7 linked regions of the Cricetulus griseus genome follow. The protein of the gene in region 1 purifies or fractionates together with the protein of each later gene. This does not show direct contact. Links are inferred from orthologs where the notes say so. Each region holds a gene or a part of one and is shown in the gene's direction. Other genes may lie near its edges.

The links.
Region 2: the proteins of Sqstm1 (region 1) and Ntrk1 purify together in Homo sapiens (affinity purification with western blotting; 6 studies listed by BioGRID and IntAct, with this or other methods). This does not show direct contact. The link is inferred for Cricetulus griseus from reciprocal best matches to the Homo sapiens genes SQSTM1 and NTRK1.
Region 3: the proteins of Sqstm1 (region 1) and Trim25 purify together in Homo sapiens (affinity purification with mass spectrometry; 3 studies listed by BioGRID, with this or other methods). This does not show direct contact. The link is inferred for Cricetulus griseus from reciprocal best matches to the Homo sapiens genes SQSTM1 and TRIM25.
Region 4: the proteins of Sqstm1 (region 1) and Casp8 purify together in Homo sapiens (affinity purification with western blotting; 5 studies listed by BioGRID and IntAct, with this or other methods). This does not show direct contact. The link is inferred for Cricetulus griseus from reciprocal best matches to the Homo sapiens genes SQSTM1 and CASP8.
Region 5: the proteins of Sqstm1 (region 1) and Mavs purify together in Homo sapiens (affinity purification with western blotting; 3 studies listed by BioGRID). This does not show direct contact. The link is inferred for Cricetulus griseus from reciprocal best matches to the Homo sapiens genes SQSTM1 and MAVS.
Region 6: the proteins of Sqstm1 (region 1) and Vdr purify together in Homo sapiens (affinity purification with western blotting; 3 studies listed by BioGRID and IntAct, with this or other methods). This does not show direct contact. The link is inferred for Cricetulus griseus from reciprocal best matches to the Homo sapiens genes SQSTM1 and VDR.
Region 7: the proteins of Sqstm1 (region 1) and Cd44 purify together in Homo sapiens (affinity purification with mass spectrometry; 3 studies listed by BioGRID and IntAct, counting the BioPlex papers as one, with this or other methods). This does not show direct contact. The link is inferred for Cricetulus griseus from reciprocal best matches to the Homo sapiens genes SQSTM1 and CD44.

What each region holds. Positions count from the first base shown.
Region 1 is NC_048600.1:64,656,985-64,660,361, reverse strand, and holds the end of Sqstm1 (sequestosome-1), read left to right. Parts: intron 1-33; coding exon 34-229; intron 230-1,663; coding exon 1,664-1,821; 3' UTR 1,822-2,497; downstream 2,498-3,377. Other genes in the region: Mrnip (MRN complex-interacting protein), read right to left, coding at 2,578-3,066. UniProt on the Homo sapiens protein: Molecular adapter required for selective macroautophagy (aggrephagy) by acting as a bridge between polyubiquitinated proteins and autophagosomes.
Region 2 is NW_023276806.1:66,668,524-66,673,406, forward strand, and holds the start of Ntrk1 (high affinity nerve growth factor receptor), read left to right. Parts: upstream 1-1,545; coding exon 1,546-1,757; intron 1,758-4,494; coding exon 4,495-4,569; intron 4,570-4,798; coding exon 4,799-4,870; intron 4,871-4,883. UniProt on the Homo sapiens protein: Receptor tyrosine kinase involved in the development and the maturation of the central and peripheral nervous systems through regulation of proliferation, differentiation and survival of sympathetic and nervous neurons.
Region 3 is NC_048600.1:102,145,755-102,149,942, forward strand, and holds part of Trim25 (E3 ubiquitin/ISG15 ligase TRIM25), read left to right. Parts: intron 1-3,040; coding exon 3,041-3,274; intron 3,275-4,188.
Region 4 is NC_048595.1:413,109,620-413,114,522, forward strand, and holds the start of Casp8 (caspase-8), read left to right. Parts: upstream 1-1,669; 5' UTR 1,670-1,755; intron 1,756-4,903. UniProt on the Homo sapiens protein: Thiol protease that plays a key role in programmed cell death by acting as a molecular switch for apoptosis, necroptosis and pyroptosis, and is required to prevent tissue damage during embryonic development and adulthood.
Region 5 is NC_048599.1:47,327,534-47,330,908, reverse strand, and holds part of Mavs (mitochondrial antiviral-signaling protein), read left to right. Parts: intron 1-2,281; coding exon 2,282-2,772; intron 2,773-3,375.
Region 6 is NC_048595.1:394,401,114-394,405,919, reverse strand, and holds the start of Vdr (vitamin D3 receptor), read left to right. Parts: upstream 1-1,697; 5' UTR 1,698-1,778; intron 1,779-4,806.
Region 7 is NC_048599.1:74,826,512-74,830,699, forward strand, and holds part of Cd44 (CD44 antigen), read left to right. Parts: intron 1-1,902; coding exon 1,903-2,004; intron 2,005-3,692; coding exon 3,693-3,782; intron 3,783-4,188. UniProt on the Homo sapiens protein: Cell-surface receptor that plays a role in cell-cell interactions, cell adhesion and migration, helping them to sense and respond to changes in the tissue microenvironment.

The sequences.
Region 1 (3,377 bases):
AGACCCCTGTGCTCACAGCAGGTTGTATTCTAGGAACAGATGGAGTCTGATAACTGCTCAGGAGGAGATGATGACTGGACACATTTGTCTTCCAAAGAAGTGGACCCGTCCACAGGTGAACTCCAGTCTCTACAGATGCCGGAATCAGAAGGGCCAAGCTCTCTAGACCCCTCACAGGAAGGACCCACAGGGCTGAAGGAAGCTGCCTTGTACCCACATCTCCCACCAGGCATGTGGTCACCAGAAGTTTCATTTTCCTTTGCTTTCAGAGTATCCTAGCCCAAGTCTGGTTTTGGTAACACAAAATGGGGTAGCATGGCCTAGGTTTTTTTTTAAATGGCAGTACCTAGTTGTGTAGTGCAGGGTAGCTTTGGGATTGTAGGCTTGTCTGCGGCACACTCCTTGGTGGGGCTGTCAGTTGACATCAGAGAAAACTAGAAGCTGGTCTGACCTCTTCTGTTTGCATCCAGCAACAGTAACCTCATCTCATTTTAAGTATTTCTAAATCTCAATACCCAGATGTTCTGAGAAGGCAGATGTTACAGGAAAGGCAACACTGGTTTGGGCTGCTTTGTACCATGAACTGAACTCAAACCCTACACACCATTTCCTCAGGGGGTTGCAAATTTTAATGGCAAGCACCACAGTCAAGGCCCTAGTAGAAGCCAGGCAGAGTATGGAAAATGCTGGACAGGAGTGGCTAATCCCAAGTGTACACCCTGCAAGAGAGGCAGCCTGCTCCCAGGCTAACGGTGTTCAGGTGGCTAACTTTTCTCCGGGCCAGATTTGGCCTTGGGGCTTACAAACTTATTTTGTGCATGAGAGCCAGAGGGGCAGCAAACTGGTGCATGAGAGTCTGGGAAGGGGCTGTAATCATGAGTTCAAGGCCATCCTGGCTACACAGTGAGACCTACCTCTGTATCTCCATGGCAGACTGCTTATCTCACTTGCAAGGCTCTGGACTGGAGTCAGACTAGAGCAGGGGAGCTGAAGAACTGGCTCATCCAATAAAGTGCTTGCTGTGCAGGCGTGGCAACTGTGTCTGTAGTCCAGCATGGCAGAAGGCAGACAAAATCCCTTCACAAGCTGGCTAGCTAGATAGACAAGCTGGAGTTGGCAAGCCATGAGTTCAAGTGGGGAGCAACAGAGGAAGACTCCTACTTCAGCTCTGGGCTGCCACACCTTCACACATGCATGTACACCTACATAGGAATATAAGTACATACGCCAAATAACAACAGAGGGTGAGGAATCAGAGGCAGTTAGAGGAGATTCACGATTCACATTTTATTATCTTTAAATGGTTTTTATTTGGGTTGGTTTTGCGATGGTGTCCCACTGTTGCCCAGGATGTCCCTGAATGATCTTCCTGCCTCCTCTTCTTGAGTGTTAGAACTACAGGCTTGAGCCACCACATCTGGCAATAAACTTAATTGGAAAATAACTGCACTCATTTGTTTACATACCTTCTGGCTGTTTATGCTACAATGGTAGAGTTGAACAGTTGTGACAGACTGGAAAGCCTACAAAACAGGGCTGTTTGGCCCTTTAGCTGGCCTCTGAGGGTTCTTGTGAGGCCTAAACAGGGCAGTCTTCCTGGCAGGCAGGACTTGCTATGTTTGGAGTGCTGCAGGGTGCCTGACTTTCCTGTCTGTTTTGGCAGAGGCTGATCCCCGACTGATCGAGTCACTCTCCCAGATGCTGTCCATGGGCTTCTCTGATGAAGGTGGCTGGCTCACCAGGCTCCTACAGACCAAGAATTACGACATCGGAGCTGCACTGGACACAATCCAGTATTCAAAGCACCCTCCGCCATTGTGACGGGCTTGTGCCGAAGCCCTGTGACCCACCCCCTTTGTCTTGTAGTTGCATCAAGTAGAGCAGCAGGGCCTCAATAGGGCCAGTTTCTTAGCATTCTTCCAGAATCTACAGGTGGGAATGTGTGAAGCCTTTAAAGCAGTAGGAGAGTGACATGAGGGGACAGTTCCAAGAGTGTACATGCTGACGCCTGAGAACAGACCCAGGTACTTGTGGCTGAGCTTCCCTCTGCCTTCCCTGAGCCTGGCCTTTGCCAGGGAGCTGCAGAGGTACACTGCACTTGCTCTTACCGCCAGCATTGCACCAGCAGTCAGAATTCTTGTCTGATGACCTTCTGTGTTTTCTTTGTTAAAAGTGATTAATACACTGACAGTTATTTTCAACAAATAAAGCTATTATGTTAAGAGGGGGCTGTCCACAGTAAGTCAAAGGTGGCGGGCATTTGGGGCCTCTGGCTCCTGGGGGATGGAGAACTCTTGAAGTCAGCTGAAGGGTCTCACCATATACTTTTTAATGATTCACACTTAGTTTTCGTTCCAATGTTAATGCTTTTAAATGAAACCCCATGTAGCTTTCTCTGACTTGATTTCTAAATGACCTGTAATTAAGTGGCATATGCACTTTAACCAACCCTGTGGTCCTTATTATTGTTGAACAAGAAAAATCTGTTTGACAGGCATATTTATTTGTTCGGGTTATTTGTTCTAAAGCACCTCCGCCTGTGGCATGGAGGACCCATTACATGAGTCAGAGTGAAGGTTACAGGTCATCCTCAAAGTCCTCCCCAGTTGTAAAGAGGTTGTGCACTGCTGGGGCCTTCTGTGCCCCTTGAGCCAAGGGCCTACCATCTGCTTGAGGAGTCCCCATGGCCCATGGCTGCTCTGGGGTCTTCCTGCCAGGCCCCTCTGGCTGGGGTGTGGTAGCGGGAGTGGTTTGAGGGCGCTGGACAGTGTCAGGGGCCCTGCTGAAGTGGCCTTCCCCTGGAGTCTTGGCATCAAGGGTCCCTTGCTCAGCTTGTGTTGGGTCAGCTAGCCTGGTGCCCTGCAGAAATCTTGATGGGTTCTCATCCACATGTGGGCTGTTTCCAGGTGACAGCAGAAACCGTGCCCATTTAGAAGATTGGGCCTTGACCTGCAGGACAGGACTTGGTAGTTTCCATCTAGGAAAACCAAGCTCCCTGATGTGGGTTGCAGCCCCGAGGGCAGAGCTGCCAACTTGTCGCTCTGTCCCTAACAGGCCAGTGGAGTCCTGAAAAAAAGAGAAAGGGTTCTGTTCAGCTTGGCAGGACTGTTGGCCAATCCCTGCAGGCTAGGGACATGCTGTTACTGTGAGGTCTAACAAGTCCGTTTCTAAATGCCCCTACCTTACCCTGATCTGATAAATCCCATGACCACATTTCTCCCATAAAGGAGACACCTTGAGTGAGCCATCTCCTGGGATGCTTTGGGACAGGCCAGCAGTCCCCATGAGGAGGTGTGAGCAGGGAGGGGCCTATACTCCACTACCTAGAGATGCAGTTAGTTCATCAAGCCTGTTTGGTCCCAGCTAGGCTGGAACAG
Region 2 (4,883 bases), on another chromosome or scaffold:
CTCAGACCTTCGCCTCTAGCAGCCCCCGCACCCCCCAGCCTCCTGAGGCCACTTTGACCATAACCCCTTGCCGCGGGGCGCGTCCCTGCCAAGTCCCTTTGTGAGATTCCTCCTTCGTTTGGTTACTTTTAAGAACTCGGGATGTTTGGTGTGTCTCTGTATGCTCTGTGTATACTCTGTGTACTCGTTTGAAGACACTCGAGGGACTATTCATGCTGGGACCTGGAGCAGAAAGCTAACTGCCACTAAGACTATCTATCCTTCACTGGTTAGCTGGGTCCTACATACTTCGGTCACTCCCAGAGCCCACCTGTCTGTCCCCTCTTAAGCGTGAGACTTGCATACACCCCTTTAACCCCAGCGCTCGGGAGGCGGAGGCTGGCGGATCTCTGTGAGTTCGAGGCCAGCCTGGTCTACAAGAGCTAGTTCCAGGATAGGCTGCAAAGCTGCTGAGAAACCCTGTCTCGAAAAACCAAAACCAAACCAAACAAAAACAAAAACCACCACCACCAACAACAAAACAAAAAAGTGTGAGACTTAATAGACTTGCAGCCAGGAAGGCCAATGCGCGACACCTGCCCTTTGATGGCCTGAATGCTGGATCCTGGGACTTCCCAGGTTCACAAATACCAAGGGTCGATGGTTCCCAGCTCTACCCGCGGGCAACTCCCACGTCCGAAGAGCTAAGAGATCTATTAATTTCTCCGCTCAGAAATCGATGCACTTGTCAGGACGGCGATCGATGCCAGCCCTGCTCTGTTTGGCCCTACCCGGCCTTGTGCCCCAACTGGCTGGCTGCGATTGGGGACTGACCTTAAGACAGAAGGCACAGGCTGGCAGGGCTGCGAACCGCGCGCGCTTCCCGGCCCTCGAAGACCCAGGCCCGGCGCAAACGCCGCGGCGCAAGGGCTTCTAGCGCCACCCTGTGGTCTCTTGCGGACTGAGCGGTCTCCACTTTCCACTCTCCCTCCAGCTGTGTTGAGAGAACACTTCTCTGCCCCTTCTGTTTTCCTCCGCAGGTTCTGCGTCCGGTCTTTCTGGGGCCATCTCCCTTTTCTTACTAGCGTCTGGAGAGTGTTCATCAAACTTATTCCAAGTGACATGCACACTCTTTTAGGCATGTGCACCGCGAGGCTGTTTGGGATGACCTGGACTTCAACCTTCTCCTTGCTCAATCTCTCCCTGTCCCTGCAAATCTGAAAATGCAGCTGTTTTACTGGGAGAAATAACGTATCGGCTTCCTAGCCCGCTCCAGTCTCAGAAGACGCCTGTGAGGCGTCCTGTAGCAATCCTCCGCCCCAGGTCTACTGCAGCCGCCAGGGACATTAGGGAGGCTAGCTGGCATTAGGGCCCCAAAGGGGAGGAGGGGGCGCTGGGGGCACCGGCCGGCGGGGCGGGGCGGGGCGGGACGTGGCCGCGGGTGCCGCCCTCTCCTGGTGGCTGGTCTTTAACACCGCCCCGCGCACGTGTCGCGCGAGGCCGGGCGGTGGCAGCTAAGAGCGCTCGGACGGACGGCGCAGCCCAAGCTTGGCGGGCGCCGCCGCGATGCTGCGAGGCCAGCGGCGCGGGCAGCTGGGCTGGCATTGCCGAGCCGCGGGGCTAGGAGGCCTGCTGGCTTCGCTGATGCTGGCCTCTGCCTGCGCCGCATCCTGTCCTGAGGCTTGCTGCCCCGTGGGCCCCTCGGGGCTTCGCTGCACCAGGGCAGGGGCCCTGAATACCCTCCACGGCCTGCGGGGCGCCGGGAACCTGACGGAGCTGTGAGTGTGTGGCGGGGGAGGCACGCGGGGTCAGGAGGGCACAGCCTTTCCCCGAGGGCGCGCACTCACCGCTGGCTTGAGGGGCCAGGCTTGGCTGCTGTAGGAGGCTGGCACGTGTAACCTTTGGCTGTGCTGCAGCGGCTTTGCTGTTGCTGCCACCACCCTGGCAAAGCCGCGCAGTCACTGTCTGGACGTCGCCCAGGATTAAGGGTAGCTGGCTGAGGTGCTGGCTTGGGGCAGAGCAAAAGGGGACCAGGTCTTGGTCCATCGATATAGGAGCCTCTTTGTGGGGTTCATTCAAGAGCCCAAATTCTGCCCCTCGGTGTGGGGGTTAGCTGTGGAGAATTCGGCACTGTGCACCTTTGCCATCTTCTCTATCTTAGAGGGAAGCCAGTCCCCAACCTCTCCCTTGTCTTGGCCAGGGACCCTAGGTCTTCCCTGGGTTTGTGATTGAGCTGGAGTTGATGAGGAACCAGCTTGTTGTATGAGCTTTTCTTCTTTCCATTGACTTCTTGATTTGGATGTGGGAAATGAAAGCCCTTTGCTTCTCTCCCGTCTCCCCTTTCACCAATGTCTCCCTACTTGTATCAGGGAGTCAGGGCTGTTGCTGAGGGATTCTCACTTCTTCCAGGTCCAGAGCTGGGCGGAACCTTAAGCTCTGCAGTACTTTGACATTCTGCAATAATTGGTTACAAAATATGCAAGTACTTCTTAGCAGCTGGTGAAACCTATGAGAGTATAATTGACCTGAAGGGACTCAGCATCCCAGGGTGATGGCTGGAAAATACTTGAGTATTCTGCATGCTGGTAGAACCAGCAGCTGGCCGTGATTGGCACCGAGTTACTCGGGCATCTTGTAGTAATTAACGGAGATACTCAATCTCTTTCTAATGGCCCTAGGGAGACCAAAAAGAGAGGGGATGGCCTTGTCTTGGTCTGGCCTAGGCTCCTGCATGATGGGAGGGGGCATGAGGTCTAGATTGTTGCTCCCAGGCCTGCCCATTCAAACCAGAGTCCCGGCTCCTGACTGTGCCTCTCAGCGTTCTCATTCCCCAGTGCCTTAACAGGCTCCAAGGGAGTCCAGCCCAGGGACAGAGGCAGTGGGCAAGCTAGGGCTGTAGAAGAGGAGGTTGGCAGAGCGGTGAGCTGAGATGTCCCCCTGGGTGGGGCCAATCCTCCCACCTCGTCCTGCACAATCCTCTCCCTCCTCCCTCACCCGCATAGCTAACAAGGAGCTAATGGACTCGAATAGACAGATTGATTATGAATCTGAACAAATGAGGCGGCTTGGAGTACACTGCCTGACAGCCCTACTTACCCAGCTCTTCACATCTTATCAACTCCCTGGGTCTCTGAAGCTTGAAACCCTTGGGGCAGAACAGGGATCTGGCCTCCCCCAAAGTGGCCGTCTGCATCTCCTTAGGCTTCTAGGCTGAGGATAGGCACGTACTGTCCCATTGAAGTCAAGGCTGGAAGCAGGGCTGGGGTTGGGGGGGGGGCTGGACTGAGCCTGTTCCCTCGCTGTTCTTTTACTAAGGGAAAATCTAAAAGAGAGGGGAAGAGTTCTGAGAACTGCTAGTGAGTCAGGGGCCCCTGCCACATACGGGAGTTGGGAGAGGAGAGGAAACATGGACGTGCCACTGCAGAGGACATGTCACTACAGGGAAGTAACTTCACAGGAACTCCGGGACGCCAGATCCACAAGATAGGACTGCAACCACAACCACAGCCACCTCACCCCGAGTGCCGTCTTTCTCTTTTTGCATCCCTGGTTCTCAGTCCTTATCTCTGTGGCCCCCTGTTCTTATCTGTATGTCCCTTCCCACCACCACTACTCAGTCTCTTCTGAGTTTTTTACTCTGTTTTTCTGCCCACCTTCTGCTACCTCATTCAGCCTTCCTGTGTTTCACACTGTATCTCCATCTCTCCTCAGCCACACACTCAGACTCCATCTGCTCCATGCTCCTCTCTCCCTTCCTGTGTCCTTCATGGACTGAGGAGGGACTAAGGGGTCCTTAACAGCTCTATGCTTTTTGCTTGTTTTGGAAAAGTACTGGAGAGGGGAGAGTAGGGATGCTGTAGGGAAGAACGAAAGGTTTTGAGGGGACAGAGGGTGGTGTGTGTGTGTGTGTGTGTGTGTGTGTGTGTGTGTGTGTGTGTGTTTGGGGTCAGTGAACCCAGATAGCAGTCTCAGAGCTGTGTTTGGGGCACACATTAGCATGACCATTGGGGCATCTTTAGCACTGGGTGGAGCAGCAGCACTGAGAGCCTTGCCCTTTGTGGAAGTGAGCCCCAGCACGACCCGCTTATTGTTGAGCATATATATGCTGAAGGGGCCTGCTATCAAAGTGGAGCCCCAAGCTGAGAATGGCAGTGTGCACTGGCTAACATATCTTCACACCTTCTCATCTGTGTATGCGTGAGAGACGTCTATGTGAGCTTTGTTCATGTGTGTCCTTGGGTGAGAGTATGAGGATATCCCCGTGTGTTTCTGTGCAGTTGCCTATGTGTTGCAGGAGGCATGTGAGAGTCTGTATTTTGTAAAGGTGAGGGTGCATGCATGCCTGTATGCACATGTGTGACTTGTGAGTCGTGCCAGCATGTGGGGGCATGCGCATGAATGAGTAGGTGACATGGGTCTGTGTGTGAAAGGTGCCTGTGAGGGAGGTGGGTGGCTGGTGGGAATGGGGTAATTCCACTGAGGCCCTGACCCTGTTCACCACCCCTCTCCCTGCAGCTACGTGGAGAACCAGCAGCACCTACAACGCCTGGAGTCCAGGGACTTGCAGGGCCTGGGGGAGTTGAGAAGCCTGTGAGGACTAAGGGTAGACCGGGTGGGACTGGGCACAGGGTGGTGGGTGGCCACATATATTGGGCTCTCAGAAGACCTGGGAGTCTGGGAGAAGTGTGGAGGCTCAGGGGTTTGAGGGGTCCAGATAACTGTGGAGCCTAAGGGGTAGAGAGGGGTGCACAGCTCCACAGGGGTGTCTGGCCTGGGTGAGCAGAGGGCAGAGTTTAAATTCCTCTCACCCCTTCCCTAGAACCATTGTGAAGAGTGGCCTTCGCTTTGTGGCTCCCGATGCTTTTCATTTCACTCCTCGGCTCAGTCACCTGTGAGTGCCCAGG
Region 3 (4,188 bases), about 37 Mb from region 1:
AAGTTTCTGGACAGCCAGGGCTTCTACACAGAAAAGCCCTGTCCTGAACCTGCCCCTCCCACCCCCAAAAAATTAAGTTATGAGTATTTTGCCTGTTTGTATGTGTGTACCAAATGCATGCCTGGTGCCTGTGGAGTGTGTCAGATCCCCTGGGACTTGAGTTACAGATGGTCATGAACCTCCATATGAGTGCTTAGAATCAAACTGTCCTCTGGAAGAGCAGGCAGTGTTCTTAACCACTGAGCCTTCTCTATGGTACCATATTACCTTTATATTGAAAGAAAGGAGCTGGAATTTTAAGAATACCATTGCTGAGATGCAGCAACTGTGCCTTCATTGATGGCTTCAGTTGTGTTGGTGGAGATGCAAGTTTCAACCCCCCCTACTCCCCCCCCCCCCGCCCGCCCCGAAACACACGCAAAGCAACCACAACTCCTCTGAGAAGATAGTGAGACCTACAGGGTGAAGGTAGAATTATGAATATTGGTTGGTTGGAGGGCAGGCTAACCTCCTAGGATTAGGATCCATTTAAATGCAAATCAATAAGGTGGTTCATTTTGTTCAGTTTAACAACCTAAGTCCACACAAGAGCAACTCTTGACCCTTAGCATGGCTTTGCTCCAAATGAACATTCCTACTGTCCCACTACTCCACAGTTTGATGCTCTCATGCCTTTGATTGAAGCTGGATTTTTTTTTTTAAGCCAAAGGCTATTATAGAAACTGGCTGTCAAGGCAGAAGGTACTGAAGAACAAAGATGCTGGCAGATCCAGGATTGCACAGGCTGTAATATATTAAGGATTTATTGGCAGAAGGATATGTTAAGTAGTAGCAAAACAAGAGGATCCCCCCGATCCCTGTGTCACAAGGCAGGAGGGAAGGGGTTTTTTTTTTGTGCTAAGATAGGCAAAGGTGGCCCATGGCCAACTGGAATGTACCTAGATTTTCTAAAATAATAATAATAACAACTATTAACATGTCATGTAGGGTTTGGGATTTGTGTTAGGGTCATATAGCAGTTACCACCAAGATGGCAGAATTCAGCCCAAACTGGGTCCTTACTCTGGGTCACCTTTACCTGTTTGCTCTAGCCTGGGAAAAGGGAAGCAAGATGGAAGATACCAACAACAAGCAACTTCCTCTTAAGCAATCAATGTGGTGTTGCACATACTACTTCTAGCCTTGCCTCACGGGAGGCAATTTAGCCACTTAGCCACCCTGGCTAAGCCCATTTGCAGGGTAGTCTGGGAAATGTAGTCTGAGAAGCTGTATACCCACTTGACACTCCTGGGGTGTTCTCTTACTAAAGAGCAAAAGAGGAAATGAACACTGAAGGACACTGGTGTTCACAGAGGAGGTAGTGGGAAGGGCTGGATGAGAGGCTCAGTGAAATGGCTCAGTGGGTAAAGGGGCTTGCTGCACAAGCCTGACAACCTGAGTTTGATCCCCAAGACCAGAGGAAGAGGAGAACCAACTCCTGAAAGTTGCCCTCTGACCTCCTGGGGGGAGTGTGCACACAACAACAAAATAATAGTGATTAATAATAAATGTAACAGTTTTTTAAAAGTTGAATTCCACTCTTTTGGTGTACAGTATTTGTGTTTGTCATGTTTGATTCTAAACTATTGAGGTTAACCAAGAAGTTTGTTCAAAACTACAACCTTTGAAGCAACACTGTCTACCAGAAACATTCCAGACATCTCTGATTTTCTTGTTTTGTTTTTATTTATTTATTTTTTCTGTGACAGGATTTCTCTGTGGCTTTGGAGGCTGTCCTGGAACTAGCTCTATAGACCAGGTTGGCCTCAAACTCACAGAGATCCACCTGCCTCTGCCTCCCAAGTGCTGGGATTAAAGGGGATACCACTGCTGTCTGGTATCAAGTCTTTGACATCCAGTGTCTACTAAGAGTCATGATAGATCTTTTCTTGAATTTGGCACATTTCAAATGCGCAGCAGCCACGTGGAACACTCAAAAAGAGAGTTCTAGGGAATAATCCTCTTCCGGAAGTTTTTGAAATTGTTTCATGCCTTCTTTTAAAAATTTACTAGGGGCCAGGCAGTGGTGGTGCATGCCTTTAATTCCAGCACTCAGGAGGCAGAGGCAGGTGGCTGTCTGTGAGTTACAGGCCAGCCAGGGCTACCCAGAGAAAGCCTGTCTTGAAAAATAAAATGTTATGTTAACGTCTGCAGTGTATCCCTCCCCGTTCCTAATTTATCATATTTATTCCCTAATCATTTATACCCTAAACACAAGCTCATTCATTCCCGTGTGTTTACATATTTATGCCTTTTTGTTTGTGCATGCATTCCTTGGTAGCAAACACCGCCATTCCCTCAGTGTCTAAGCTTTGTGTGAAAAGAATCACATAGCTTATGTGTTTTCCCTTGTGAGCTGGATCCACATGTACCTCCAGTTTATCGTTTAATGTCTCATCCTAGGATGGTTCTCAGTCTTTGCATCAAGTCTCTCCTGTACTTAGCTTCCCCACCCCCAGATAGCTCAAGTGTCCCTCCTGCCTCAGTCTCCAGAGGAACTGGAATAATAAATCTGTGCCACTGTGACCAGCTCACTTTTTGCTGTTTCAAACAATGATGCTTGTGAACAGTTGTCTCCCCCTCATCTCCCACCCCAGTTTGGAGACAAGGGTCACACATAACCCAAGCTGGCCTCAAGTATGCTATGAAGCCAAGGATGACCTTGAACTCTTGGTCCTCCTATCTCAGCCTCCCAAGTGTTGGGATTACAGTTGTGAGTCACCATACCTGGCTGTGCTTGTTAACATTCTTTTTGTTGTTTTGTTTGTTTGTTGAGAGTGGGTTTCTCTTTGTAGCCCTGGCTGTCCTGGAACTCACTCTGTAGACCAGGCTGGCCTTGAACTCAGAGATCTGCCTGCCTCTGCCTCCAGAGGCATGGCTGCCTAGAATGGTGCCATGAAGTGTCATACAGTTCCTGGTGCTCCCCTCTCTCCGACACACAGGAATGCGGCCTTAGCATTTTCACCCATCTGACAGGAGCCCCTTCATTTTTGCCTTGTAGGACTCTATGAACAGGAAAAAGGAACAACTGAGGCAAGAATATATGGAAATGAAGGCTATCCTTGATTCAGCGGAGACCAACTTGATGCGTAAGCTGAAGGAGGAGGAGAAGCGGATCCACGGAAAGCTGGACAGCATCTACCAGGTTCTTGCCAAGAAGAAGAGTGAGATGCAGAACCTGAAGGCGGAGGTTGAGCTCACCCTGTCCAAAGGGGACGAGTTTGAGTTTCTGGAGGTGAGTCGTGACGAGGGTGCTGCTGTGTGTGTGAATATCTCAGCGTTGATAGTAGTTTGGACCTCACAGAGTTGGGGCTGGAAGTGTCCCGGAGACACGCTGTATTTCTATGCTCTGCGATAGCTTACCTAAATTTGGGGCTTTGGAGAACATCTGATTATTGTCCCACAGTTCCCTTAGCTCAGTATCTGGGTGTGGCTCCCTGTTGTTGACAAGGCATCAATGGTCTAGCTTCAGGCTGGGCTGTTTTCCAAGCATACCTGACTACAGGCAGAGTTTAAGTTCCTTGGGGCTATAGATCAAGTGTACACTTTCTTACTGGCTGGCTGATGAGGCCTTCTTTCAACTTGGCATCATATGCTTCCTCAAGCCAGCAGGAACATTTCTCCCTCTATCTAGGAAGGCCCGCTTTCCTCTATTGAGGTCTTTTACCCAGTTAAGTATCCTGTCTGCCCCTCCCCCGGCAGGATAATCGCCCTCTTGATTAATTCTTTTATCTGGTTTGATGTCTTCCTTACTCCTGCGGTGTACCTCCTCTGTTCCTTGTAAGTTTGTTGTGCAGTAACAGCCTATCCCACCCGCCCTGTTGTGCTCAAGGAGATAGTTACGGAGGGTGTGTATAAGAGGAGAATCGTGGTACCAACTCAGTTTGTCACTCACTGCACAAGTGCCTACCTTCTCTTCCTGTCCTTTCTCACGTGGTCCCTGAAAATGTCTTTCTGAAGCATGGCTGTCCAGTTCTGTTTGCCTCTGTGCTTCTTAGCATGGTGCACGAATGAGGTCCTTGCTGTCCAGACTTGGTCTTTGCTGTCAAGTTCGTCTCTTGCCCGTATCCTTTGCCCATGCCTGTGTTCTGACCACAGCAGGCTCTACACTCTTCATTCCCACTGAGTCCTCTTCTGCCCAGTGGATTA
Region 4 (4,903 bases), on another chromosome or scaffold:
CCCATTCACATTTAAGGCAGTGTTTGTTACTTTGATGTTGAAGTGCTTTTTTTTTTTTTTGTCGGCAACAAATAGATGGATCCTGGTTTTGGTTTATTTATTTATTTTTTTAATCCAATCTTTTAAATTGTGATACTGGGACCACTAGTATTCAGAATTATTATTGAAAGGTGTTGCTCAACAAGTATGCCCAACGGTTGCCCAAGTGAGACCTCATGAAACTAAAATGCTTCCGTATAGTAAAGGAAATGTTAACTGGGCAAAGAAACAGGCATACAGAATGGGAGAAAAAAATCTTTACACACTGTGTATCTGACAAAGCATTGGCATCTAGACTATACAAAGAACTAAAATAGTAAGCAATATGAATGGAAAAAACCCAGTTAACAAATGAGCTAATGGAATGAACAGGTGGTTCTCAAAAGATGAAATACAGCTTGACTAAGGGGGCAAAAGCACTTGCCATCAAGCCAGACAACCTTAGTTCCATCCCTAGAACACAAACCATGGAAGAGGACAGACTTCCAAAAGTTGTCTCCTGACTTCCACAAGTGGCAAGGATGCTCCTCACTCTCAAATAAACAAACAAATGGTTAAAAAAAATTACAAATAGCTAAAATCCGTGAAGAAATGCTCCACTTTACTAGCCATCAGAGAAGTGTGAATTAAAGTACATTGAGATTCCACTATATCCCTATTAGAATAGCAGTCATTAAGATAACAAATAACAACAAATGCTCCAAAGAAATTAGATAAAAGGGACCCTTCTACCATTCTGATGGGACTGTAAGCTGGGCTGGCCTCTGGAAAATCAACATTGAGGTTGTTCCAAAAATTAACAATAGATCTACCATGCAACCCAGCTGCAGGTATGCACAGGACTAAGTCAACATATCATGGAGACATTTGCATATCCATAGTTATTCACAAGAGCTAAATTATGGAACCAACCCGACAATTATAAGCAGAGGAATGGATTAGGAAAATGTGGCATTTTACACACACACACACACACACACACACACACACACACACACACACACCAATCACACAAACAGAAATTTTCAGCCACAAAGAAAAGAGTATTTAATTACTTATTTAGATATTCAAAATCTTGCATAAAAAAATAAAATCCACCTGGGCAGTGACAGTACACGCCTTTAGTCCCAGTACTTGGGAGGCAGAGGCAGGTGGATCCCTGTGTTTGAGGCCAGCTGGGTCTACAGATCGAGTTCTAGGACAGCCACGCTACACAGAGAAACCCTGTCTCCAAAAACCAAAACCAACCAACCAACAAAAAAAAAAAAAAAAAAAAAAAAAAAAAAAAAAAAAAAAAAAGAAAAAGAAAGAAAGAAAGAAAGAAAGAAAAGACAATTATTTGCAGGAAAATGGACAAAAACTGAGATAATCATATTAAGTAAACTGAGCCAATCTCAGAAAGACAAATGTCATTTGCTTTTATCATTTGTGGTTCCTAGATTTTATATAGTTACATAAACTGGTGAGTACGGCATGAACGTAGAAGTGAAACTATCTTGAGAGTGGGGGACAAAGGAACTAACAGGAGATCCTCAGCATACCCGAGGTCAGCCCTCTTCCTCCTGCCTTCTGTACCGCCTGTGCCAGGAGAGCAGGAAGTAGACAAGGTCTAGCCTCCAGGTCTGGGTTTCCCTCTGCCTGCCACACACTCCAGAGAAGGGGCTTGGGAGCCAAGTGCCCTTGGTGAAGACCTCGCTCGGGTTTGTTTCTGATAAGGTCAGTTGAACTTTTAAGGGGGAAGGATCATGATTCTAGAACTTTCTAGGTTTCCGTGGGATCTGGAGTCCACATGGCTGTAGAGGGATTCAGGGTTTGAATACTGGAAGGGAAGCCAGGAGCTTTATCTATGTGGGTAGCTGCCCGCTGCCCTCTGTGGGCCTTCTGCCACCCCACCCCACCCGACCCCATAGACGTGCTTCTGGTGTTTCTGGAACACAGCAAGTACAGCCGTCTATTGGAAGGCACCTCCTTGAAGAGAAACCAAAATTTTAAAATTTCAACTGACTTGGCCGCTCCATTTCCTGATCCACTTACCTGCCCCCACATTTTCTGATATACACATGCAAACCCCAAACACAAACACTATCTTAGCGATCTGAATATAAATACACACACACCCACACACCCACACACACACACACACTGCAGTCCACCGAACTACCTCTCCAGCCTATCATTTCTCTTAAAAAAGAAACAGGACCGTCCGGAGAACGAAACAGTAAGGAAGGAGAGATAAAAACTCAGAAATCTGTACTGGCAGCGAGGTTAGACGTCTTACACTTAACGTTTAATTAGAAAATGATGGCGTTGGCTGTATATTTTATTGAGGTTTGACTGCCTTTGCTGGTATGTATGGAACACCTGCCTACAGAGGCTTCGTGGTAGGATCTTGGAGAGGCAGAGCTTGGTTAGAGCCCCACTTCCCGGAGCTCCCTTGCCTGGTGGCAGAGGTGTCACTAACAGTTACACTTGGCCTGAGAGAGCCTTTGGATGACTGTAAACTTTTATCCCTGGAAAGTCCTAGCAAGTTGCATTTTATGCTCCCACCCGGCATATTGGAGGTAGTTCTCTAAGTGGAAATAGTTCTCTAAGTCACGGGAGGAGCGGGCTGTGCCTATTATTCAAGGAAGGATAGTGATTAGACAGTCAACTGAGGCACGTGGCAGAGCCCGAGTGAGCTTCCGCTCTAAGGTAGACTACTCCTTGCTCCTCAATGGTGGGCCAGCCACATTCAAGGAACAGCTTTTTCCCGTTTTTCTTTTTTTCACTTTTAATATTTCTGAAAATTTTGATTATTTGAAAATATGATTATTTGTTTTTCTGTTGCATCTAATAGTAAATAGAATAAAATAGTATATCTTTTTATGAGTGTGTGTGTGTGTGTGTGTGTGTGTGTGTGTGTGTGTGTGTTTTCTTCATGTGCTTTCTATCTGGGGTTTTTGCTGGACTGGAACTCACCAAGCAGCCAGGATAGGTTGGCTGGTATTACAAAAATTCTATGTTTTTATGGTGTGTGCTGTTGAAGCCCTTGAGTGACACATGGGAATCTGAGCCCATGTCAGACTAGGTGATCTAAGTTGTGACTTAAGGCAGTAGTAAAATGAAGTCTTCTTGTAAAATGAATTAAGAGAAATGTTGTATGCTGATATGGATGCTTCTGAACACTTACAAGTCATAACAGACATTTACTTCCATTGAAAGATTATAGGTCATACATATATAAAATATTAAATGCTCTTGTATATTATAGTGTGCAAGCATATTTAATGAGATTATTTGACGGCAATAATAGCACATATACATGATATGACCAACTTCTCAAATTTATTTATACTTACACACTTAGGCAGAAATGTGAATAAATTTCAGCACAAAATGCCAAATGTAAACAGAGAATTATTTCAAAGTGTTAGGATTTAAAAGATTTTTATGCTTTTCTATACTTTCTCTGTGAGGTGTTTCCAGGAACAGAAGAACATAGCAGCAAGCATTATTTAAAAAACACTAACAATGGTAATTTCCTGTGAGTTCAGTCTAGGTCCCATAAAAAAAAAAAAAAAAAAAAAAAAAAAAAAAAAAAAAAAAAAAAAAAAAAAAAAAACGAGACCACAGGTAGTCTCTGTAGTCTCTGTTCTTACAGAGCAGGCAGTCTAGCAGCAGTTTTTTTTTTTTTTTTTTTATGTCTCTTAAATTCCACGAAACTGATTGCTTTTGGGATGCTATGACTAGAAAAACATGTGTGACCTAAACAAAAACAGCCAAATAAGACTGAATGTTGTGGGCCATGGAGTGTCTTAGGAAGCTAAGAAAAGTGCCTGTTAACAGTTAGGACTTGTTTGTTACATTATTGCCAAGGTGATGAAATGAGTGAGTTGTGATGTGCACAGGGCCAGAGGCCAGTCACATTATGTCAAAGCTCACTGTCATAGTGGCCTCAGATAAAAATGGGTGGGTGCTTTTGTTTTGTTTTTCTGTAAGAAAATGCTGTTAAAAAGACATGAACGTGGGAAGGAAACTTGTGAGGAAGAGGGAGGGTGACAAGGATAAACATATGTACACCTATGAAATGGTCAAAGAACATGCTTAACCAATTAAAACAATTACAAGCTTTAAAATAAGAGAAAATATTGTTGAATATGTGACAACTGAAAAGGCTTATTAATGTAATTTCTTGATCTTGTAATATTACTTACAGGAAAATATCCTAAGGACATAGGAGTACATTCAGAAATTTGAACTTTCAAACCATCCTAAATTTAATAAGGCTGAGTCTGGAGAGATGGCTCAGTGGTTAAGAGCACTGACTGGTCTTCCAGAGAACCCAGGTTCAATTTCCAGCACCCACATGGCAGCCCATAACTGTCTGTAACTTCAAGATCTGACACCCTCACACAGACATACATGCAGAGAAAACACCAATGCACATAAAAATAAATTATTTTTAAAAATCGATAAGGCCTGGTTATGTGAATTATGTCCATATGGTAGATACCTTATGGATATTAAAATCTGTGCTATAAAGAAAAAAAAGATATCCAAAAGTACTTTAAATATTATAGTGGGAAAATAAGTATGGATAAAATATTTTGGTAGAAGCCAGGCAGTGGTAGCTCACGCCTTTGATCCCTGCACTTGGGAGGCAGAGGCAGGCTGATCTCTGTGAGTTTGAGGCCAGCCTGGTCTACAGAGAGAGTTCCAGAATAGCCAAGGCTAAACAGAAAAACTCTGTCTAAACACATACACACACACACACTCTTTATATATCATATATAAAATATAAAGTATATATATTGTATATATTTTCACCATATATATGGTAAAAAAGCAGTAAAATACTACTATATGTTTATTTTTGATTGGTGGA
Region 5 (3,375 bases), on another chromosome or scaffold:
ACACCGGAGGGTGTGATGGCCGTGTAGGTGTGCATTGCTGTACATTGCTGCATGTGAGACAGAGTTAGCACTATTTCTGCACTCAGGTAAAAGGACCTGGTATGGATTGACCAGGACCTGAATGAGGGATAGCATAGGACTAGCTGATGAGGGAAGCTCTTTTTCTTTTTTTTTTCCAAGACAGGGTTTCTCTGTATTGCTTTGGAGGTTGTCCTGGAACTCGATCTTGTAGACCAGGCTGGCCTCAAACTCACAGAGATCCCCCTGCATCTGCCTCCCGAGTGCTGGGATTAAAGGCATGCACTACCAACACCCAGCAAATTCTTTTTCTTTTTAAATAAATTTTTATTTAAATTAAAGACAATCTTATTTTACATACCAATCCCAGTTCCCTCTCCCTCCCATCCTCCCGTTCCCCCCACTGACCCCCCCATCCCACCTCCCATCCACTCCTCAGGGAGGGTGAGGCCTCCCATGAGGGGTCATCAAAGTCTGTCACATCATTTGGGGCAGGACCTAGGCCCTCCCCCATGTATCTAGGCTGAGAGAGTATCCCTCCATAGGGAATGGGCTCCCAAAGCACATTCGTGTACTAGGGATAAGTACTGGTTCCACTGCCAGAGGCCCCATAGACTGCCGAGGCCTCCCCACTGATACCCAGTGGGGGCCTGGTTTGGTCCTATGCTGGTTCCCCAGCTGTCAGACTGGGCTCGTGAACTTCCACTCGACGAAGGAGCTCTTAAACACCGTTCTGCACAAGGAGGTCTCTAGTTCCCAGCTGTGGTAGTTAGAATGGGAATAGCTCCTGGAGGCTCATGCATCTCAATATTTAGTCCCTAGTTGGTGGAACTATGTAGAAAGAACTAGGAGGTTTGGCCTTGTTGGAAGAGGTGTGTCAAAGAGGTGGGCTTGGAGGTTTCAAAAGCCCATGCCATCTTCAGTTAGCGATCTCTCTCTCTCTCTCTCTCTCTCTCTCTCTCTCTCTCTCTCTCTCTCTCTCTCTCTCTCTCCTCTCCTCCCTCTCTCTCTCTCCTCTCTCTCTCTCTCTCTCCTCTCTCTCCCTCTCTCTCTCTCTCTCTCTCTCTCTCTCTCTCTCTGTGTGTATGTGTGTGTGTGTCTGTATGTCTGTCTCTCTGTGTCTCTGTCTGTCTGTCTGTCTCTGTCTTTCTGCCTTATGCTTGTGGATCAGATGCAAGCTCTCAGCTACTGCTCTATCTCCATGCCTGCCTGCTGCCATGCTCCCCACCATGATCCTCATGGACTCTAACCCCCTGGAACTGTGAACCCAAAGTTAAGTGATTTCTTTTGTAAGTTGTCTTGGTCACGGTATTGCCACAGTGATAGAAAAGTAACCAAGACACCAGAAAAATTACTAAAGTGTTTCAACTCTAGATGAGTCAGTCACGGGTCAGAGGAACCTGATGCTCCCCCTCAGGACTGTACTCTATCCACCCTGGCTTTCCAGGCTAGAATGGCTCACCTCCACTTTCCTAACTCTGTTCTGTTTGTCACAGGTGCCTGGTCTGCCCTCAGTGCCCTAGAATTGCTGTGTGAAGCAGTTAAAGGTTGGGGGAAGTCATCTTAGTGCTCCCAAATGCTTTCATTCCCAAACATCCCTCAGTCACAAGGCTTTGTAATATCAGCTTGTCACAAGACATTTCTCAGGAAATACTTCTGTGAACTATGGCACTAAGGGCATTTCATTTGTAGCATGTTTGTGATCACAGGTGCCTGGAGATTTTCTATTAGGCTTAAGGGGAGACATCACTTCTAATGTTTGTCAGCCTTGGCATGTGTGTCCTGAGAGTTCTCTGAAGAGTCTGATGTCATTACCCTTATGTCCTGTTAACACCTGCTGCTTCTGGTTTCCCCAGATCAAGCTCCCTTTCTGGGACTACTAGGTCCTTATTCCTTGGGGAAGTATGCTTGTGGTTCTGTTGAGCCATCCTGTTGTCCCTTGCCCTGATTCAGGACTGCTCTTGCTAGAAGGCCAGGACAAACTAGAATAGGCAGAAGTGGGAGAAGAGGCAAGTGTCCAAGGTGGAAGAACAAAAGAATAATTTATAATGAGCATCAAGCTTTTGGGTGCGGATGAAGGCAGATGCCATTTTATTTTGGTGATAGGGACCAACTAGGGCTCTGCGTCAAGGTCTGAGTCTTCTCCACGAGCCGGAAATTGGGAAACCAGATGTGATATGGACTGTAACCAATGGCATGGGGACCCTTCTCTAGCCCTTAATGTAACACAATCCTTTGGATTTGTGTCTGTTTTCGCCTGTAGGTGTTGACTCCATTTCCACACCACTCCATGGACCTGTGTCTCCAACTGTTTCCTTCCAGCCCCTTCCACGTACCACCCTGCGGACAAGCCACTTGCCTGGGGTCACAGTATCAGTTCCATCTCCTGATACCTCCTTGTCTTCCTCTTCCACTGGATTGGCTTTGGCAAAGGGAGCTGGTGACCAGGCCAAAGCTGCCACCTGTCTCAGCACAGATGGGGGAGTACCCACCAATTCTGTGACCACTAGCTCAGTGCCTTCCTCTACCAAATTGGTACCAGTAACTACTGTGTCTTCCAAAATGTCCTCCAAGTTGCCCATCAGTACAAAGTCCACTGCTGCAATGCCTTCTACTGTGCTCACCAATATAGCACCGTCAAAATTACCCATCAACTCAGCATATGCTGGCACAATGCCATCCAAAGTGCCTATTAGTGTGGCCAAAGCACCTGCCAATGTACTACCACCCAATAGGAGCAACAACCAAGCCAAGGTGAGTCTTTGTTCCTCCTAATAGTCACTCAGTCCACTTTGCCAAGACAGCTGGTCCTCTGCCCTGCCCTCTGACCCTTTTAGTCTCTGTTCTGTCTCTGGTCTGGTTCTTCAAGGTGTTGGGACCGAGGGGAATCAGCCTCATCCAGCACTTACCCCTTGTTTTCTAGGAGGCATGATAGACCTTCGGCAGAGTGGGGCATGGGACCACCCCCACTGACACGTACATTAACTCACTTGGAGCTCAGAGCCCCCAGTTAAGCAGTACCATTTCGTAGATGAAGTAGTGAGGGATGAACTTGATGGCTCATGTGCCTTGTTCATTGAACAGTGGTCTCAAGCATCTAGCTTGGAGCAGCTACTCTAACTCAGTGACCCCTACAGCTACTTCCCCCAAGGCCTGTTTACCCTAAAGGAACCAAGTTCACAAGCCTTGGATTCTTGGGCTGCCCTGTGACTCTCAGGCCCAGGTAGTGTAAGATGGGTCACACCCCAGCAAGGGCTCCCTAGCAGTGATGCTCACAGCAGCTCAGTGAGTGGGAGAGGGCTGCTCTGGAAGGCTTACTGCAGGGTCTTGGTCACTTCCCTCCCATCTGTGTGTGTA
Region 6 (4,806 bases), on another chromosome or scaffold:
CTGCTCAAGCCTCCGATAGGCACCCAAGGCCTGGTAGAGATGCCCAGAGACCAGGCTTTGCCTTATGGAATGCACAAGGTCGCTTCTGGGCCTAGAGTCTTTGCAGAGTATGCACCTGGCAGGAATCTTTTGTTAGTATACAAACAGCTGAGTTACAGAGCTCTAATGTGGTGTCTTGTGTGTATGGAAAAATGCATAGATATTCCCTGATAAAACTGGTCAGAGACAAACACTGAGCAGAGGCAATCTGACCAAGTGACCAATACCATCCATCCTGGAGACAGCAGAGAATTAAAGAAATGTTGTCTTTAGAAAAAAGAAAAGGGAAATGCATGCCTTCTATATGCAGAGGTTCTGGAGTGTGGTTCCTGGATCAGCCTAGAGGAGTTTGGTTTTTCAAGACAGGGTTTCTCTGTGTAACTCTGGCTGTCCTGGAATTTACCCCAAAGACCAGGCTGACCTGGAACTCACAGAAATCCACCTACCTCTGCCTCCCGAGTGCTGGGATTAAAGGTGTGTGCCACCTCCACCCAGCCAGTCTAGAGGGGTTTAAAGCTGTTAACTCTGAAGTATAGTTACCAGAGACCACTGCCTGCCCTCAAGGCTTCCGGGAAAGGTAGTGTAAGAAAGCAATCTCTCTCTATTCCAGGACCTACCCAGGGAAATGTGGAGTCAGGAGACAATAAAAGGTTCTAGGAGAACAAGGAGAAAGAAATCTTGCTTTTGTCACTGTTATAAAATGACTTACTGGGAATAAAGCTTGGGTGGCTAAAATTCTTGTTCAGTATAAATACAAAGTGTCTTATTATAAGGTAACAAACCATATGACAGACTAATACACTCTATGGTGGCTCATTGTTGCCTGGAGATGGTGGCAAAGGTTCGATGGGATGGACAGAGCTATGAAAGAGAGCAGAGTCTGGAGGGCCAGATGAGGTCCAGGAACTGGGGGAGGATGAGAAGGACATACTAGAAGTGTGATGGTGGGAGCAAATCATAGTGTGTGACATCTGTAACCTTGCAAAATTTGCCAAATCTAGAACCTCTGAGTTCTTCATGGCAAGAGAGGATCGGGGGATGGGGTGCAGAGAACCGGGAAGCTGAGGCAAAGCCAGCTGGAATGAGATCGCAGTTAGCCAGGAACGTGCCCCCTCGCTGTGGTTAAGCCGCCGGATAGGAGAGAGCTCACAACTCCAGTCTCCAGTCCACTTGGGTCCCCCTGTGCTTGTCCTAACCGGTGAAGTCCGGCTTTGCGCCCAGCATCAGAAACTGGCCGGCGATTTCCCAACGGCGAACGGAGAAAGGCTCCTCGCAGCGCGCCGCGGGCGTCGGGGTCCCGGGTCAGCTCAGGTGCGAGTGACGCACCTGGCAAAGGCGTCTGCAGCAGACTGGGTAGAACCACGGCAGCGGGGCGGGGGTGAGGTGGCGAATACATCACGGATCACCGCAAGCAGAAACATGGATCTGCACGAACGGAATCATGAAAGACCGCCCCAAGTAGGGCAGAAGCCTGCGCCTCGCTGTGACCGGAGGTCGTGGATCCTTTCACAAAGCAGGGTCTCCTAGGCGACAGTGCAGTGGTTGACTCCAAGTCAAGAAGGTTTCAGGGCAGGAGAGGACTGGACCTGGTGGGCGTGGCTAAGGGAACAGGGCGGTCCGGGGGCGGGGCCTTGCGGGGCGGGGCCAGGTGCTGAGCCGTCTCTGCTTGTCAAAAGGCAGCTGCCGAGCCAGCCCTAAACGCCGGGAGCGCCAAGCAGCGTGTCCACCCGCCGGACCAGGTGAGGATCAGGGAGCAGCGGGAACCGGGTTCAGGGTGAGAGATTAGATTCAGGGGCGGGCGTCCGGGGTCGAGAGGTCTTAGTGCCCAGGGGCAAGAACTAGAGACCAAGTTTCGGTAGCAAAGTTGGCGATTGAGATCCGGACTGTGGTGCCATGAGGTTGGAACTCTGAGAGGGCACCCAGGTCTGAGAAAGTTGAAGTTCGTGAGATGTTGAAGAGGGGGCAGCCACCTTCCGGGATGCTTGGGGGGCTCAGCGCAGGAGTCCTTCGCTAGGACAGTTCTCACCGGACAACAAGCGTTTGTTTCCTTCCTCGGACCTGCGCTCTAGCGTGGAATGGAGGAGTAAGAAAGCAAGTGATTGGCTGTGGATGTAGCTAAGGTCTCTGGGGGTGGAGTGTGAGTAGCCTGTTTATTACCCAGTTGGGCCCATGTGTGATCACCTGTGATGGTGGAGTAGAATCCTTTAAATGGAGTTTTCTTTTGTTAACTTTCGAAAACCGCCGGTGCTTTGAGACCTAGTGTACTGGATTTCTTTATCAGAAAAGCCTGTCCACAGACGTCCAGAGGGACTCAGGGGCCAGTGTGGAAACTGAGGAAGGGATTTAAGAAATAGTTTCTGTTTGGTGAGTGAGGTTCGGAGGGAGTATTTGGAAGGGAACTGCATGATCCACTGTCGTCACGACCACTATCACCCACCTGAGGCTGCCTGCCTGTTCTGGGGGAGCCTTGCTTCTATGAGCCTAGGCCACACTCCTCTTCCTCCTCCTGCTCCTCCTCCTCTCCCTCCTCCTCCTGCTCCTCCTTGTGGTGAGTGAGTCAGCCTCCTGTCTGGGCTCAGAGCAGCAGAGGGGCCAGAGCCCAGGCAAGCAGTTGGGCAGGCATTTTCTGAGCATTGCAGAAGTTCCCTTGGACAGAGTTCAGCTCTTCCCCAGTGTCCTGGGGAAGGCCATCTTCTTCATGGACATCAGGGGTGGGGGAGTGTCATCAATGGTTATTTGATGGCCATGGGCTGATTCCAGGTGACCAAGAAGAGACTTTGACTGTTCTCTGGGATTGGAGGTACATCCCAATATTATAGGCTTACCAGCTACTGGATCCACTTCTACTGTGTTAGTGAGCCATCTTGCCTAGTAAGGCAGGCATAGAGGAGAAATCGGAAGAGAGTTTGGGGAGCAGAAAAGGCAAGCAAGGTTTTTTCCCAGGCTAGGGAGTAAGAGTGGATTCTCAGAGGCAGAGGGGGTTGTCTGGACCTAGGTCCTCAACTCTGTGAGCTAAGGGTATTTTACATTTGGGAACCATCGCTATTTCTTTCCCAGATTAACACTGGAGAGAACTGTGTGGATCTCTGTGGAACACTTTTCAGTACTGGCATGCAGCCAGAACAGGAGGTAGTAAGAGTGAAATCCTCTGCTGGTTTTGTTTTAGATACTAGAGACCCTTGAGCAGAAATGGGTAACCTGGGCCCCCACTCAGTAGCCTTTTCTAGCTTGTTTGAGAGGAACCCAGGGAGCCTGACACAGTTACATTGCCTCAAACTGTAAAGAGGTAGGAAATCACATTCTGTGCTCCGGCTTTAGGTTTGGCTATTCCTGAGCAGCCGTGACTTGGTTCCTGACCAAGACGGAGAAGGGACTGGGAAAGGAGAGAAAGGAAGAGAATCAGGCAGCCCAGCTGACCCCTCACACTTCCCCAGATACAATCCTATGCCTGTGCTTCAGGATGTTGTGCTTATTTGTAATGACGTTTCTCAGCTCCATCCCCTGTCTACCTATGAACTGATCTCTTTGAGGGACAGAGCCCTCTGGAAGCCCTCAAAAACCCCCTGGACCTCTGCCTTCAGCACAGATTGCAGGTATCCAAAGCTTAGGCCTTCAATAGAGGAAGGCCTAGGATAGTGGTTCCCAACCTTCCTAATGCTGCGACCTTTTAATACAGTTTCTCGTATTACGATGACCCCAACCATAAAATCATTTCGTTGCTACTTCATAACTGTAATTGTGATACTGTTATGAATTGTAGTTTAAATATCTGATGTCAGAATATCCGATATGTGACCGACCTCTTGTGGAGGTCATGACCCACAGGTTGAGAACCACTGGCCTAGGGTCTGGTGGGCTAGACCAAGAAGTTACCCAATACAGGAGAATTCTGTTGTACAGTTTTTCACCCTACATCCTAGGGATTGGCTACAATCAGCGTCTGGGCTGCTGCTGTCTATGCAGAATGGCAAGGCCAGGGTACCTGGGTCACATTCTGATGTGTAGCTGGATGGTGGGTTAGAGGGCTCCAGCTTCTGCTTGTCACTGCTGTGATGTTTGGGATGCAGGTAGAGGGAATAAGGACACAACCAGATTTGATTAAGAGCCTCCTGTGTGTCCCAGCATAGTGCCAGGCTGCCAAGGGATGTCAGCAGGCAGATCTCAGCAGGCCAGGCTTCTGCCTCCAAAGAGAGCTCCATGAGGAGCAGCAGCCCTGGCACCATCTCCACTGCTGTCCAGTCGAAGGCTCTGATGGGCTGAAGCCAGCTGGGCAGCTGCTCTAGACCAGCAGGACCTCACTTGTAGCTGCTGCTCTCTGATTTGTCCTTAACATTCCTTAGTGACTGTGTGATTTACTGTCCAAACTGGGATGCTCATGAGTTAAAGGGGGTTTTGTGTGTGGCCATGCAGAGACATAAACCCAAACCCAGGAGAGCTGCAAATCTACTCATCCAAACCCAGGAGAGGTCACACAGAGTGATTAAGGGACAAGGCAGGTGGGAGAGATGTAAGGCTAAGTGAGATGAGAGTGGAGCCACATAATTCTCAGGCTAGCCTTAGTTGGTCATTCCAGTCCCTTCCTTAAGGGTAGTATTGCTCCTGGCCACCCTGACCCAAGACCCAGCCCACCACCATGAAAGAAGTGACATTCTTTCATCCTTCACTTGTGGCTGGCCTTGGCTTTGGGTTTTCCTGTGCCACCCCTACCTCAGACAGGGACACCAAGGCCTGTGAACTCCTCTTCAGCTTCCCCAGGGGAACTGGCGT
Region 7 (4,188 bases), on another chromosome or scaffold:
TAAAAAGTAAATAATTAATCAATCAATAAATAAATAAACTCAGCAAAACACCTCCAGAATCATTATTAAGTGTCCAACCTGAAGAAGAGAGAAAGATTCGATTTCATAGGTAAATAATCAAGTAAAAGGTGTTAGATCTCATAGGCAGTCCAAATATCCAGAAAGGAGCTCAATCTAGACTATAGGAGGATTTCTAGTGGTTAGATAAAGGCCAGCATTCCTCAAGAACTTGTGGAACCAGTTCCCATCTGTCAAAAGGAATCAGTTCCCTTAGCTCTGGCAGAAAGGACACATGGCTCTCCATTGACATATACCTGCCACTGCAGATCAAAGCCCATGTTGGCCTCCAAGATCCCTCAGTCGCAATTCACAAGTACTTGTTACAACATTTCAAAGTCCCCTGTGCCAGTCTCCTGGCTCTCCCCTCCCCACAGCTACTCACCCTCCTTATATTCTTACTTTTTTTTACTCTCTCACTGTGTTCTATTCTCTATCTCTTGCTATCTTGCTGTCTCCACTATTCTCTCTCTCTCTCCCTCTTTCCTAGCCCTGGCTATGTCCAGTCTTCTGGCCATGCATAGTCTACCTTTTCCTTTCTTTGTTCTGAACTCCTCCAGATGCCTCTGGCTGTTTCTCTCTCTCTCTCTCTCTCTCTCTCTCTCTCTCTCTCTCCTCTCTCTCTCTCTCTCTCTCTCTCTCTCACACACACACACACACACACCTACAATACAAACCATATCACGAAGTAGTCATGTCTGCAGTTTCTTTACTACGTTTCCTCACACACACATGACAGCTTCTATCGTACAATGACATGACAGTCCTCAAAGCATTTTTCTAATCAGAGGAAAAATAAACAAGGGTGGATGCAGACATTCATCAGACAAGGCCATTTCCTGGTAGGGTATCCATTTAAAATTTTGAATGGGGCAACTGGCCTTTCTTCTTTGAAATCCTGATGGTAGAGTGAGCCACACATTTTTCTCTAACAGAGATCTTATCTGTCTTTGCTTTTAGCATGCAAAGGCTGGAGTCCCAATGTGGGTGTCCCATATCCCAGTGCTTCCCACTGTTGGAACTGATTAGATCTCCCCAGAGGCAGTGGTGTGGGTGGACTGAGAAAATTGTAGAGTTAGCAATATTGATGGTGTTTATGGACTGTTTGGCCTTTATTTCACTCTGAACTTGTTATTCCAGCCCATAATAGATCTGTGATAACCATCAGAAAAAGCAGTCTTTTTAATTACTTCAGGGATGTTTCATACCACTCAATACTATAATCAGAACTCCCAAGATACGTCTTTCTTATATTTATGGGAAGAATGATTCTTGTTTGTCTATGGATACTTCCTGTTGTCTCAACATAGTTATATTGGGTAATGTGTATATTTTTTTGTTTTTTCTGTGTTTACGTTGTGAAGCAAAAATAAAAGAACAGAAATAACCAAATAAGGGAATTCAATGGCTGCTTAAAAACTTTTCTTGGTGTTGTTTTGTTTGGCCTGGTGAGCAGGAGGTGACAAAATGGTGCTTGTGTGTGTTATTTGTCTCCATGAGTCTGACTGTATTTGTCTGCCTTGGAGTTGAGCAAATTACACATGGGCTACATTTCTGTCCCTTTGCCAGGACTGTGAGCCTCATTGAGTGCTCTTGCAACTTCCTTCCAGACAAAGCAAAACAAGCAAACAAATATGTGATAGCTTTAACTCGACTCTGCCCTGAATGAAAACCATGAATATCCTGTGGTATTCTTAAAGAAACAATCATTTAGCATAGTCTGTACATGTGAACCTGTTTCTTTCCTCTTATCAGGCTGAATATAAAAATTGCTTGGCTGTATGACAATGGCCCTTGGGCAATGGCATAGGGAATAAGGCAGTAACACAGATTTAATTCCTTCAGATACGGACGCCAGTCATAGTACAACCTTTCAGCCTACTACAGCTCCAAATACCCATTTGGTGGAAGACTTGGACAGGACAGGACCACTTTCAGTGACAACTCGTAAGGATAATGACACACAGCTCTTTTGTTGACCTGTCTTCCTACTTCACATCTGCTCACATTGGTCAAAATGTCACATTTGGTGGTGGAATGGTGTGGTCTTTGTTAGGTGGTTCAGCTCAGGCAGGGGATGAATCCGTTTTCATTGGCTGTCTTTCTTGTATGGGTTCTTTAAACCTGACTTTATCTTCATTCAGAGTCTCCTTCAGAGCCAATGACTTTTTATTAGCAAAAGGATATGGAGGCTTAATTCATCTCCATGTTTCTTCTCCAACTCTTCATGTGAAGGACATTGAAGACCATCACTAGTAGATTGTTTTCTCTATGTTTTAATAGAAACTTTTTCATTCACACCCTTCTTCCAGCCAAGGAAGGAGAAAGATTGCGTTCATGATGGTGTAACATGAGGGCCAGATTATCATAGTGAATAGAGAAATAGCATTTAGACTTGAGAGGAGCAACAGGCATGTTGTTAATAACTGACCAAAGTGGCATCCCTGGAATTAAAAAGAATCATTTGCTAACATAGTTTTCTATCCTTAAACATCTGCCAAAGATGAAGGAATATGAAATTTTTAGTGTCCTTAATTTTCACCATGTGTATAAGGATAGCCCAAGGATCAACCCAAACTCATTCATAAATTCTTGGCAGATTATCAAAGAAATCTCCAAATTAAGAAGGCCTCATTTTACTTCTTGCTACACATAATGGTCAGAGTCCTTTATAGGAGACCTTTAGGCATAGGGAAAAAAGCCAGCAGGCATGTATTGACCATCATTAATGTAAACAACAGTAATTGGCATCAAAGGAGATATAAATAAGCCTATAAATGGCTCTTGCCAATGCAGGACTTGTATTTCCATTTTGTGTTACTGTTGGCTTTTGTTCTGGTGTTGGATTTGGGATTTGGTGAAGGTCTCTCCTGGCTGCATTTATTGGTGGTGGACATGGCTCATGGGCATGTTTTATATAGCCTTTGTACCCGCTCCTCAGAGGTCAGTCAGTGCCTTTCTTGGAAGAACACAAAAGAAACTTAAAACAGTCAAAGTAATTTCAGATATGGGCAATGATTCAATCCCAAATTGATAAGTCACTGAGGGCCCTGTGTTTGCCCAGGCAAGCATTTCCTTGGTGCAGTGAAGTGAAACCCTGTTATAGGCGAGATCACAGCCTATTAACAAAGAAGTAACTAAAATGCAATGCTTTCTACAAGGGAGTCATGTATTTCCCTGTAAAATTTTCTCTGGGTTAATTGATGGAGATGAGCTTTTTCTTTAGTGTTCGAAGACAAGCTACATAGCACTTTTTCCTTATAACTTCTTTGTTCACAATTTGGCAGTCTTAATGGTTGAGGAAAACTGAAATTAAAGCTCTACTTTTCATATCTGTGATTTTTGTTTCCTGGGGATCCCTAGTGTAGTTGGGTCAAGGTGCTCCAGGGAGGGCAAAGTTTTGGCTTTGGCTTCACTTTGGAACTGCACTAAGAGAAAAAGAAGCTAACTAGGGACAAAATATAATTTTTCTGTATATTTTTAACAATCGGGCAGATGATAAAGGGCAAATTTATCATTCTCCCTTTGTATCTATCCATCTGCTAATTCATAGCTAGATCATCAATGTAAGTGGGCAACAAAGGACTTGTATCATGGTTCCTAATTAACACTAACTTCATCCCTCATTGAAACAGCGCAGAGTCATTCTCAGGACTTCTTTACATCACATGGAGAAATGGAAGAAGAGAAATACCACTCAACAACTTCTGTTCTGCCATCTAGCAGTAAGGATCATAAAGCCCAACTAGCTTTGGTTATTTAGCAGAAATCAAAATGTTCTGGTATCTTCGGTGGTGGTACATCCATTGCTAATTTTTATACATTAGTTTTAATCAAAAGGTGTGTCTGGTGGTGGTCTCTGACTTTCCTGCTTTATAGACCTTTTAGAAGCCAATGTACATTAGGTACAAACTTTTCTGTTGAGTTGGTTTAGAAAATGATGATTGTTTCTATAAGATTTTCTGAAATTCATTACAATAATATTATTTCCATTTTTGTCTTCTGGACCACAACTCCACAATATTGGTGACTAAGAAGCAATGCCCTTCTGGCACAGAAAAGATTAAGTCAGTAGACTCAGGTCTTTTGGATCTTGAATTTATTATTCCAGTTGCAGACAGATGGAAAGCC